Saccharomyces cerevisiae S288C: one gene and its partner. The protein of the gene in region 2 interacts with the protein of the main gene of each other region in a biochemical or structural test. Each region holds a gene or a part of one and is shown on either strand. Other genes may lie near its edges. The genes, in order: ATG1 and ATG2.

The links.
Region 1: of the proteins of ATG2 (region 2) and ATG1, one has a biochemical effect on the other in vitro, tested with the Saccharomyces cerevisiae proteins (2 studies listed by BioGRID).

The regions. Positions count from the first base shown.
Region 1 is NC_001139.9:158,464-163,538, reverse strand, and holds ATG1 (serine/threonine protein kinase ATG1), read right to left. Parts: upstream 3,475-5,075; coding exon 781-3,474; downstream 1-780. Other genes in the region: serine/threonine protein kinase TOS3, read left to right, coding at 1-130; GTS1 (Gts1p), read right to left, coding at 4,443-5,075. UniProt on the Saccharomyces cerevisiae protein: Serine/threonine protein kinase involved in the cytoplasm to vacuole transport (Cvt) and found to be essential in autophagy, where it is required for the formation of autophagosomes.
Region 2 is NC_001146.8:189,469-196,896, forward strand, and holds ATG2 (Atg2p), read left to right. Parts: upstream 1-1,855; coding exon 1,856-6,634; downstream 6,635-7,428. Other genes in the region: SLA2 (Sla2p), read left to right, coding at 1-1,489; ZWF1 (glucose-6-phosphate dehydrogenase), read right to left, coding at 6,958-7,428. UniProt on the Saccharomyces cerevisiae protein: Lipid transfer protein required for autophagosome completion and peroxisome degradation. Tethers the edge of the isolation membrane (IM) to the endoplasmic reticulum (ER) and mediates direct lipid transfer from ER to IM for IM expansion.

The DNA of each region.
Region 1 (5,075 bases), on a different chromosome or scaffold from region 2:
AAAAGCCCACCTGGTAGAAGGGAAATCTAACAGCAAGGATGACCTTAGAATAGAAGCAGACGCATCACTTGTATTTGAGGCTAGCGACGCCCAGCGCACGAGAAGAAGAATGTCTCTTTATAAGCTTTAGCATGATATATGTAAATTATTTTAATAGATGTAATATATGATTAGAAACTTGATAGAAGGATCTAAGTTAATTGTCATGTCGGATCCTAATACCAATTCTTTTAATATTGTGTTTGTTTTTGAACGTTTATTATGACTTGTAAAATACTGTTTGTAACAACAAATTATAAAATGAATTTTAATGAACTCAACAAGTAAAAATAATAAAGATATTAATGACTTGTTAAAGCCTCCTCAATCAAATCATACATACATACATTTATATATATATATAGAACAAAAGGTTAAAGAATCAAATTTTGAAGAAATAAAAATTAGATTAAAAGGATATGTATAGCCAAAGGCAAGTACTAAACGCAACAAAAAAAAACTTAAAAAGAAAAAAACACACCGAAACCGAAGGAATTCAATAATTTCCTTAATTAACATTTAAACATCAAAATAAAACCCATCCAGGTATAAAAGAGCTGGATTTCAAGAAAAAAATCACGTAGAAATAAAAACAAAACAAAACACAAAGGGAAAATAAAATTTGAATACTTTAATGACGAACTCGTAAAGCATTTCGAGAGTAGCATAACATAATCATGAAGATACTTGAAAATATAGCAGGTCATTTGTACTTAATAAGAAAACCATATTATGCATCACTTAATTTTGGTGGTTCATCTTCTGCCTCAATATTTTCAACCTGTTTGCAATACTATCAATATACTTTCTTATGATTATTCTGTCATTTTCATCCAACACACTATGATACTTCTCTTTATCTTCAACGTCGTTACTTTTTAGATGTATGTTAGTTTTAAAAGGGTAGTCACCATAGGCATTCGTAAAATCATCATCGTCCAGAGAAGTTTCTAACATCCAAAGTGAAGTTGCATAAGCTAATTCACAGTTGTACAAATTTTCTCCTTTTAATTCCATATGTGCGGCCATCTTAGATATTTCTAATGCACGATCATATAATAGCTTTTCTAAATATACTGGCTCTTCCGAACTACCTTTTTCTTCCAAAGTTTGATTTTCAGCTACCTCAGAAGCATGCTTGAATCTCAAGTCGTTAATTTTTAATCTCAGGAAATCAGCTTTTTCTAAACATTCATTAAATTTTTCCCTTAGCCACTGTACCAACACGTTAACTCTTAGAGAACATGATTTTTCTTGAGATTCATACCACCAGTTGGACGTTACCTGCATAGATTTTGATAAAATGGATAATGCCTTCATATATAAGACAATGGCCTCATTACATAGAAGGATCATTTCCGAACGTGGTAGTTTATTGAAAGTTGCACTCAACTGAGATGTGGCAGATAAAGTTCTACCCTTTCCAAAAGTTTTCGTGGATAAGCAATCTTCCTTGTACTTTTTCAACGTTTCATCCTCTTCTTCTGCATCGTCTGAGTCTTGTTCTTCTGCAATAGCATTACTATCCATACTGCGCCTGTTCTCAAAGTTAGCCATGCCTTTTAATGTTGTTGATAATGGAACAATTTGAGAAAATTTCACTTCTGCATAAGAGTAAACAACAAATGCCTTTGCGGCCAGAGATTCCAAAATACTAACGATATTAGTATTATCTAATTTCAGTGTCTCTGGATGCTGTAGGTGATCTATTCTTAATATTATATTCTCAGTAAGTTCATGAAAAAGTTGGGAATTCAACAAAGTTTGACTGTACGGTGGGGAAGATGTGATTTGTTGCTGTTGCTGCTGTTGATTTGCACCACCAAACAATCTCGTTGATGCAATACCGAGGGCTCTTGATAATGCATTAGATGGATTCAGCGAGGATATAGACAAGCGTCTATCCACCAAAGATGGTCGCCTAGACCCATCACTACCTCCACTGGAAGATGATGTGGCCCTCAGTAACCTCGGATTTTCTCCTTGATTTTGAAAATACTGTTGATTGTTTGGAGAGAATTGCTCATTCAATAAGACGTTCTGATTTTGAGTTGAAGTTGGGTGCTTAATAGGATTTGGATTGAATCCTGCTTGAGCAACCTCGTCTGCCAATGAATTAACTTCAACCGATTTCTTCTCTACCACCACATATTCTCTTTCAAAGCTTCTATCTGAAACTAGGCTATTATGGTATTTATTATTTGAAGCCTTTTTATCTACGGCTTGTGTATGGTCTGTTTTAACGGCTGGGGCAGTTAATATATTGCTGTTCTTGAGGGCATCACTGAGCTCCGCGGGATTATCTGCCATTGATTGATGACCTGCAAGATTACTGTTCGGACTCTTTGGCTGTTTAGATAAATACTCAGAAACGAACATATTACTTTCTACAATACCTTTTGATTTGGATTCTAACTCAGGTAAATCATCTTCCAATTCATAAGAAGACAAGTCTTCGTTGACTACCTTGTTAGCAAAAAACTCCTCAAATCCTATTCTTTGGGCTGGATCAAATGTCAATAAACTACATATCAACTCTTTTAACTCTGGTTCAATATTGCAATATGAAGGAAACGTTATGACATCGTTTGCTCTTTTAATTTTCTTGAATAACTCCAAATGATTGGAAGCTCTAAACGGTGGGGTGCCACAGCACATTTCGAATACCACTGTACCGACAGACCACAGATCTGCTTTAGCGTTATATTTTTGATAATTCAAAATTTCTGGTGCCATATATAATGGTGAGCCACAAAGAGTTTCTGCTAATGACGTGTTTGGCAAAAATCTTGCAAACCCGAAATCTGCTATCTTTAAAATGGGTAAGTTGTAGATCCCAACAAATCCAAGTTCATGGAAGCTTTTTGAATCATGATATCCAATTAGGGGTGTAGATAATAGTAAGTTTTGAGGCTTGATGTCTCTATGAACCAAGTTTTTAGACCTCAAAAATTTCAAAGCGGACGCTAACTGCTGTAAATAACTCAAGACAAACGCTCTATGCAGGCCGTTATGGTTCTCACTCGGTGGAGGGTATTTTTCAAATACGGTCCTTAGTAGAGGATGATTCTCCATCAATTCTTTACGCCTTTTCAACAGAAATGTTAGGTCCCCAAGAGCACAGTACTCCATGATCAAATAAAAATCTGTTGATGTTCGTTCACAGTCAATAAGTCCGACGATATGAGGATGCTTGATTTTCTTCAAGATAGCGATTTCTATTTCCAAATTCTCTAGTAATTTCTTATTTTTTAATTTCGCCCTTGATACTTCCTTTATGGCTACATGCTGAGATTTGTCGGATGTCAGATGCCCTCTATATACAGTGGCAAACGAACCCTTTCCGATTTCTTTCTCAGCGGTGTAATTTCCTGCACTTGCCATTAGATTATGGTTCACAGAGGTTGTGTGATCTTTATTTTTAATGTCTCCCATTTTCTTAATTTCTCGTCTGGTGTTGTAAAAGAGATTTGAAAATATGGGGTAGCTTCAAATTCGTTTTGTGGAGATATCAATGATTATTCTCCTATCTCCTTTGCCTTATGTTTTTATTATATTATATGTTATTTTATTATGGGTACTATTACTACGATTGTATTATATCTTTTTATCTTCTATAGTACTGTTCTCTGTTTCCCCAGAAACTAAAAAGGGTAAAAGATGGCCTTGGTACTTAACTTAAAGGTGATGAAATGTGGCGTTCTAGAATTAACCTCGGCCTAAAAAATAAAAAGCTAAAAAAAAATAGTACGATCAGGAAGATATTAATAATATAAGCTCCTTTATGAGATGCTCGATTCCTTTTGTTGCCAACTAAATGACGCTTAGAATTCCATCGATTCCACGATCGATATAGTTACAAATCACAAACTGATGCTGATGGGGGAAATGGTTTAAGAAATCAGAGCCGAGCGGTTAAAAAGAAAAACAGATGCTTGAATACGAATGATATGCTTGCTTCTTTAACGGTATGGCTTTCCAGTAATAGTTACTCCGATAAGATTCATTACAGATACACGAAACGAACAAGGAAAAGATGATTAACGGGAAAAAAAGAGAGTTCCTTATCTCATTGATTTTAACTAGTGGGTTTTCCTTACATTACCGCCCAATCCCTTTTTTTTTTCTCGCTCTCACCGGCGGAGCGCGAGCGGAAAACGCCACCCAGGTGACTTTTGCGCTAAGTGTGGATCAAATACAGTGGTATTAGTCATTGATGTGCAGCGTAAAACGTCCGGAGCAGCTGTGTAATGCGGCTGTGTAGGGTGAATACAATAGAGAATATGACTAATTCTGGTATATAGTCGTTGTTTACAGATATCTTTCGTTACTTAGTGTCATTTAATTACTTAGTGTCACTCTATATGATATGTAATGCGGAGCAGCGGCAATGTATCTTATTTTTATTGTGTGTAGAAATAACCTTGTGGCAGGTTTCCTCCTTGCGACATTTGCTGAAAAGATAATGGCGCCTGTTGCTGTTGCTGCATCTGAAGCTGTTGCATCTGGATCTGCTGTGCTTGAGCCTGAGCCTGGGCCTGAGCCTGAGCCTGAGCCTGAACTTGAGCCTGTGCCTGTGCCTGTGCCTGAGCCTGAGCCTGTGCGACAGCAAGCTGTTGCTGTTGCTGTTGCTGCTGTTGCATAGCCATGGCGTATTGCTGCTGATCTACATATATCATTCCGGTAGCAGGATCGTAATACTGTTGAAGGGTACCATCGAAAACTGCTGGCTTTGCTTGTACAAAAGATGCTGAATTTGAAGTAAAATCTGGCGTGATTACATTTGTACCATCAAAAATAGCTGGCTGTGGGCCACTTGTTGTCGCACGTCTCCTGGGCAGGGGCGGAGTTGATGTTGTCGCTGCTGCCGATACACTATTTCTTGAACTTGAACTTTTTTCTAGATAATCGATTGCTCTATTGATATTTCCGTGAGCGGACGATAATGCATCTAAATTTTTGTTTGTATCACCGAAACCCATGTCCTTGAGTTCTGCCAGTTGCCTAGAATATCTGCTTCCACTGCTTTGGAATGA
Region 2 (7,428 bases):
TTGGGAAAGAAAATATGAGTCTTTAGCCAAGCTATACTCCCAGTTGCGTCAAGAGCATCTAAATCTTTTACCTCGTTTTAAAAAACTGCAGTTAAAGGTGAATAGTGCGCAGGAATCCATTCAGAAAAAGGAACAGTTAGAACACAAATTGAAGCAAAAGGATTTGCAAATGGCCGAGTTGGTTAAGGACCGTGACAGGGCAAGGTTAGAATTAGAAAGATCCATTAATAATGCAGAGGCGGACAGTGCAGCGGCGACAGCAGCAGCAGAAACAATGACTCAGGATAAAATGAACCCTATTCTGGATGCCATATTGGAAAGCGGTATCAACACCATCCAGGAATCGGTCTATAATCTCGATTCTCCTTTGAGTTGGTCGGGTCCGCTGACTCCACCCACTTTCCTTTTGTCCTTATTGGAAAGTACTTCTGAAAACGCCACTGAGTTTGCCACCAGTTTCAATAATTTGATAGTAGACGGCCTTGCACACGGCGACCAAACAGAGGTCATACACTGCGTTAGTGATTTCAGTACTTCGATGGCTACACTGGTGACCAATTCAAAGGCGTACGCCGTTACTACATTACCTCAAGAACAGTCTGATCAAATTTTGACCCTGGTGAAGAGATGTGCCAGAGAGGCCCAATATTTCTTCGAGGATTTGATGTCTGAAAATCTTAACCAGGTCGGTGATGAGGAGAAAACTGATATCGTCATCAATGCCAACGTGGACATGCAAGAGAAGTTGCAAGAGCTATCTTTGGCTATCGAACCGTTATTGAACATACAATCTGTCAAATCAAATAAAGAAACGAACCCACATTCTGAATTGGTTGCCACTGCTGACAAAATTGTCAAATCCTCAGAACACTTACGTGTTGACGTTCCTAAACCATTGTTGTCATTGGCATTAATGATTATTGATGCTGTTGTGGCTTTGGTAAAGGCTGCTATTCAGTGCCAAAATGAAATTGCCACCACGACAAGTATTCCTCTGAACCAATTCTACTTGAAAAACAGCAGATGGACAGAAGGTTTGATCTCCGCGGCAAAGGCTGTGGCAGGTGCAACCAATGTTTTAATCACTACTGCTAGTAAGTTAATCACTTCTGAAGACAATGAAAACACATCACCTGAACAATTTATCGTCGCCTCCAAAGAAGTGGCCGCATCCACAATACAATTGGTAGCAGCATCGAGAGTGAAAACTTCCATCCACTCGAAGGCCCAAGATAAATTGGAACACTGTTCCAAAGATGTTACCGATGCATGCAGAAGTTTGGGTAACCACGTCATGGGTATGATTGAAGATGATCATTCGACTTCGCAACAGCAGCAACCATTGGACTTCACATCCGAACACACATTGAAGACTGCCGAAATGGAACAGCAAGTGGAAATTTTGAAGTTAGAACAATCCTTGAGCAATGCCAGGAAGAGATTGGGCGAGATAAGAAGGCATGCCTACTATAACCAGGATGATGATTGATCATGAATTGTACTTTTTATATATAAAGATAAACGTTAATATAAATATATTTATTTGAAGACGTCTTTTACGTTTTTCTGTATCTGATTGGTATATGCGTTCTCGTCCGGGGACATTTTTTCTTTTTTTGGTGCGGCGAATGGAAATAATCGCGATAATGAATATGCAAGGAACAAAGAACAGACACCCCACCCTTATTATCATATCACATCTCTGTAGGAGTCTACCATTTTGCTTCTATTGTAATCTTTGCGACTTTATTTCAACTCACCATTCATACAAAATTTCTACTGCCGTTTAAAATAAGGAAAGCATAAAGATTAAAGCAAATTAAGAGGAACCCTTTTTTTTTTTGATTTCGATACAATGGCATTTTGGTTACCTCAAAATATACAAAAGCGGCTGCTTCTTTACGTCCTTCAGCAAATTTCGCTGTTCTCCAATATAGATTTATCTAACTTGGACGTTTCTATAGGGTCTAAGTCACATTTCTCGTTCCATGATGTGAATCTGTCACTTGATGATCTCAACATTCCAAACGTGCAAATAAACGAAGGCATAGTTGACGAGCTTGTGTTAAAATTAACAGTTTCTGGCGGTGTGGAAATCGATGGGTCTGGTTTAAGATTTATCATGACACCTTTATATTCCAGTGGCTCACAGGAACTTCACTCAGATTTTTTGGTTAAAAGCATCCAAGATCTTACGAATTCGATGTTACAATTTAGTGATCCATTGACCACATATAATAGGTACAAAGAAGATGACATTAGCTCTTCAGACAGTAGTAGTGATCTCAACTCTAATATAGAAGCTTCAAAACCAGCCGCAAATGGTTCTTATACTCTTCAAAATATGCGGAACAAGGCCCTTAATGTAGCCTTAGCGAAATTGAAAATAGCATTAAAGGACGTTACCATACGTTTCATAGTGAATGATAGAGATCCTTCCGATAACATTGTGGAGGTTCATCTAGAAAGCATACAACTTATTACTACAGACGCAAATTTACGACATATAAACATTGAAAATATCACCATTTCCTCAATACAAAAACAAGCTGTACCCGACTCTCCTGTGCATCCTTTCAATAATGACGATCTGTCACAAAGCGTTTATTTATCAAAAATGGAGGCTACTTCACTTTATATGAGCGCCATGGAAGAGCAATCAAATGAAGACCCCAGTGAACCCCAAGTTACACAAGAAGAACAAGAGAATGATAAGTGCAAGGAATCTTTAATGGAAATAAATAATTTGAACATAGCTTTTAAGGGTTTATCATCGGTCAATGATCTCAGAATGTCTAATATTGTTATTGATATTCAGGATGTTCATTTAGCGATACACAAAATTGTCGAAATCAAAAACTCCACTTTGAAGAATATTATAGATATCATTGTTACACATTTGGATGCCAATGAAAGCTTTTCTTGCCAGGATTCCCAAAGTCCTTCACCTGACAAGCAGGAACCATCAGCTCTTTCTTCTGTTGATATCAAATGTATATACTTAAACTTAGGCCAAGATATCACAGTAATTTTGAAGAGCTTTAAATTAGAGCAAAAGGAAAATAATTCATTGGCATTTTCTTTAGGCTCATTTTATTCTAATTCGAGTCCATTGACAATTAGCCATAAAACTAAGCCATTGCTCACTGGAGAACAAACCCCTCAAAGCATCGCATTAAATATGGGCGACGAACTAGATATTATTATCAGTCATGATGGCATTGCGCATTTCTTTAAAATCTTTCAGTTTGTTTCAAAATGTATGTCCTTTTATCAGAATAAGTCAAAAGGGATGATGCCTCAAATAGCATCGGATACTAAAAGGACCGTACAACTTACCTCAAAAGCAGTGAAGTTGTCGCTTAAGTTTCCATATTTTTTATTATGTTTCCAGGTTTCACCCTTCATTTACGACTCTAACCGTGAGTTGTACATTGAGCTTGTAGACGTATTTAAAAAACTACCTTCTCGGTGCACGAAAATATTGACAATGTCGAGCATTACGATCTCGAACTTGCAATCCCCTCTACAACTGGGTTCATATGACGATACTTTGAAAGAAGCGCTAATTTATAGTTCTGTCCATGCAATCATCAAAGAAGTGATATTTAACGAAGAATATTCTGGAATAGTACAATTAGTCGAAGATATTTCTGCGTTTGGAAAACTTTTCACGGATTCAAAGAACAGTGAATGTACAGGAAAGTCTAAAAGCAAGAGAGGCTCCTTTTTGCAGAGAAGTGTCAGAGTACTTAATTCTTCCAGGTTCGTTTACAAGCAGAGTTTATCCGCTAATTTTTCTCTCAAGATAGATTCCATGAAGTTAAAAGTATCAGAAATTATAGGGCCGCAATTTGGTTCTGTGGAAGCATTACTATCAAATAATTTCTTTGCGATTACGGATGACTCTCAAATTGTATATTTTACAAAGAACTTAAAGGTAGAAAGAAAGACACCGTCATTATTAGAGCCACAAGAAATCATGTCAGTAGTTTTGAATAAAGCAGTTAACGAACCTGTACTATATGTTCATAGAAGGGCGAATGGAAAGTTAAAAGTCATTTTTAACAACATTCGCATACATTACTATGCAAGGTGGTTAGAAATACTAAAGAAAAACATCGGCCCGGATAATGCCAGTTCAAAAGATGAACCTGTTTCACAAAAGCTTAGTAAAAAACAACCGACTTCAGGATTTCCCTGGGAACTCAAATGTCTGGACTGCTCTCTAATTCTGCACCCTTTCAGATTAAAAAGTGTAATGGTCATTGTACTTGACAATCTAACAACTGGTGGAAGTTCATTTATTCCGCAGGCAAAGCTTCTTTCAAAGGCGAATACACTCTTCCTAATAGATGACTATCAGAATTTCAAAATTCAAAAAGATAAGAACTGGCCTAGTTTGATAAATTTTTATGCTGGTCAAGGTTTCTCTGCAATCGGTAAAATAGATACTTTGAATTTTTTAATAAACAAATCCGATGGTGCCCTTTTATTGGATTGTAAAATAGAACAAGTTGGTCTTTCATTATGCGCGGATTCTTTTCAAACTTTTTGTCAGCTTTGTATTGATTTAAAATATCCTCAGACGTTTCCTGATGAGGAAAAATTTAGAACGCAGTTGAAAAATCCTATCGATGTATTCAAAGACATCGATTGTGATCTTTTCAATTCTGCCTTCATCCGGGAGAACAATCATCAAAATGATTACGACTCAGTGCATTTGGTAGACAGTTTTCTCGACAAAACTCACGAGTTCAACAATGGTGCCAGAAGTAAACTATCCTCTCAAGGTTCATATGAAATGGACAGTTCCTCTGGAACTGCCACAGGTGGTATTTTACTTCCCCATGAGAGTTATCTAGACTCTGCTCAGCCAAAAGAAGAAGATACTCCACCAATCGCCTCAAAAGAGCAAGAAAGGGATGTGGATATAAGGGGTAGTATAGATGTCGAAAAAGTTGTTATAAAACTATTCGATGGGTATGATTGGAAATATACGCGGAAATTTATCGCTAATACTGTTGAAAAACTGGATAAAGAGCTCAGTAAAGCGGAAGCAAGCAGTTCGAAATCAAATGTACCCCAATCAGAGGCAAATATTTTTGACTCTATTTATATATCTGCTAACAAAAACAATGTCACAGATTTGAGAAGAAATCTTGATGGTGAGATCCAGGGGGTTCAGAATTCCTTCTCTGATGTCTCTAAAGTTAATTTGCGACCTTCTAAGCATTACAAAGCCCTGATTCAATTGAACAAAGTACATGTCAATTTGAAGAATTATCGAGTAGATGAACCCGATGAGTCTAACTCTGATAATTCCACAGATGTTTTGAACCGATGTGTAGTTTCCATTTACGAATTTGAAATTATCGATAATGTTCCCACGTCCACCTGGAATAAATTTGTAACTTTGCTAAAGCACGAACCGTGGCCACACAGTTCTCCGATGTTTCTTCTGGACCTGGAATTTATCCGGCCGATCGACTTTTTGCAAGCAGTGGAATTAGTCATGCAATTAAATGTTGCGCCTTTACGCCTTCACGTGGATCAAGACACTTTAGAGTTTCTAATAAGGTTCTTAGGGTTCAAAGATAAAAGATTTGAATTAATTGATGAGTATCCAGATATTGTATTTATTCAAAAATTTAGCACTAATTCAATTAAGTTAAGATTAGATTATAAGCCGAAAAAAGTTGATTATGCGGGTTTAAGATCGGGCCAAACTTCTGAATTGATGAATTTTTTTACCCTTGATGGATCCAAGATTATTTTGAAAAGCGTAGTCCTGTATGGATTAAATGGATTCGATGAATTAAATAATAAACTGAAAGCCATTTGGACGCCGGATATTACCAAAAAGCAGCTGCCTGGCGTTTTGGAAGGACTGGCTCCTGTCAGATCGTTTATGGCGATTGGGTCAGGGGTGAAGACCCTAGTCACAGTACTAATGTCAGAATACAGGCAAGAAGGGCATTTGGGAAGGAGTCTGAAAAAGGGTGGCAATGTCTTCTTGAAAACGACAACGGGAGATTTTGTGAAATTGGGAGTTAAATTAACTTCAGGGACACAGGCGATATTGGAGAACACCGAGGAACTATTCGGTGGTGTTGGTTCCAATGGCAGGGTGTACGATGCATCGAAATTTGGCTCCGCTGATGGTGCAGACAGTGATACTGCAGCTGTATTAGACTTGGATACTTTATTCGAGGAGGATCAGTTAGTTGGTAGTAAATATTCCAGGATAAGAGATCATGAGCCCACGGCAGTAGTCATCGATATGTCTTCACCGGGAGATCACAACGAACCCACAATAGTGAGTCTGTACGCAGATCAGCCCCTCGACCTGCCCACGGGTTTGAAGGAGGCGTATAGTTCATTAGAAAAGCATATGCATATTGCGTACGATGCGGTATGGAGGGCAAAGGGACAGATGAAGGATGATAAACGGGGAGGGCCGAGCGCCGCAGCAGTTTATGTTGCTAGAGCTGCACCTGTGGCAATTATTCGGCCGTTAATTGGGGCCACTGAGGCAGTGTCTAAGACTTTACAGGGAATAGCTAATCAAGTGGATAAGACGCATAACGAGCAAATCAATGATAAGTACAAGTCCAATCGGACTGATTCGTAAAAATTTTTGCAGACATTTTTGATATATATTCAATTCATATTTTATCTCTTTTTTTTTTTTTTTTTTCAGACGTGGAATGGTGGGAAAGCCAAAATGTCACTGACCGCGGCTAAAAGTTAAAAAATACATGAGACGACATTCTTTTATGTATATATATTTACACATGTATACAAACAAATACACACGCAAGTAGAGAGGAGTTGGTGGGGGGAAGATGCCATTATAGAGGAGAAAAGAACAAAGAGAGTGAGCTTGCAAGATAAAATCACTCGAAAAAAAAAATTTCAGTGACTTAGCCGATAAATGAATGTGCTTGCATTTTTCTAATTATCCTTCGTATCTTCTGGCTTAGTCACGGGCCAAGCGTAAGGGTGCTTTTCGGGCATAACATACTTGTGTTTTTGCATATATTCCTTCAATCCCTTTGGACCTCTTGATCCGTAGGGGTAAATTTCCGGTGTTGGACCGTCCGGACGCTCTATGTGCTTCAGTAATGGGGTGAATATGCCCCAACTGATATCCAATTCGTCATCTCTGACAAAGTTGGAATGGTCACCCAGTAGGGCGTCTCTTATCAACACCTCGTAAGCCTCTGGAATCCAAAAGTCTTGGTACCTGCTTGCGTAAGTTAGATTCAGATCTGTGACTTGGGTAGCATTTGACAGACCAGGGGTCTTAGCATTAAACTTTAGGTACACAGCGGCATCGGGCTGCACTCTGATGACCAGTTCGTTATTTGGAATGTCTTTGAAGACACCCGATGCGACCGCTTTGTACTGCAGTCTGATCTCCAC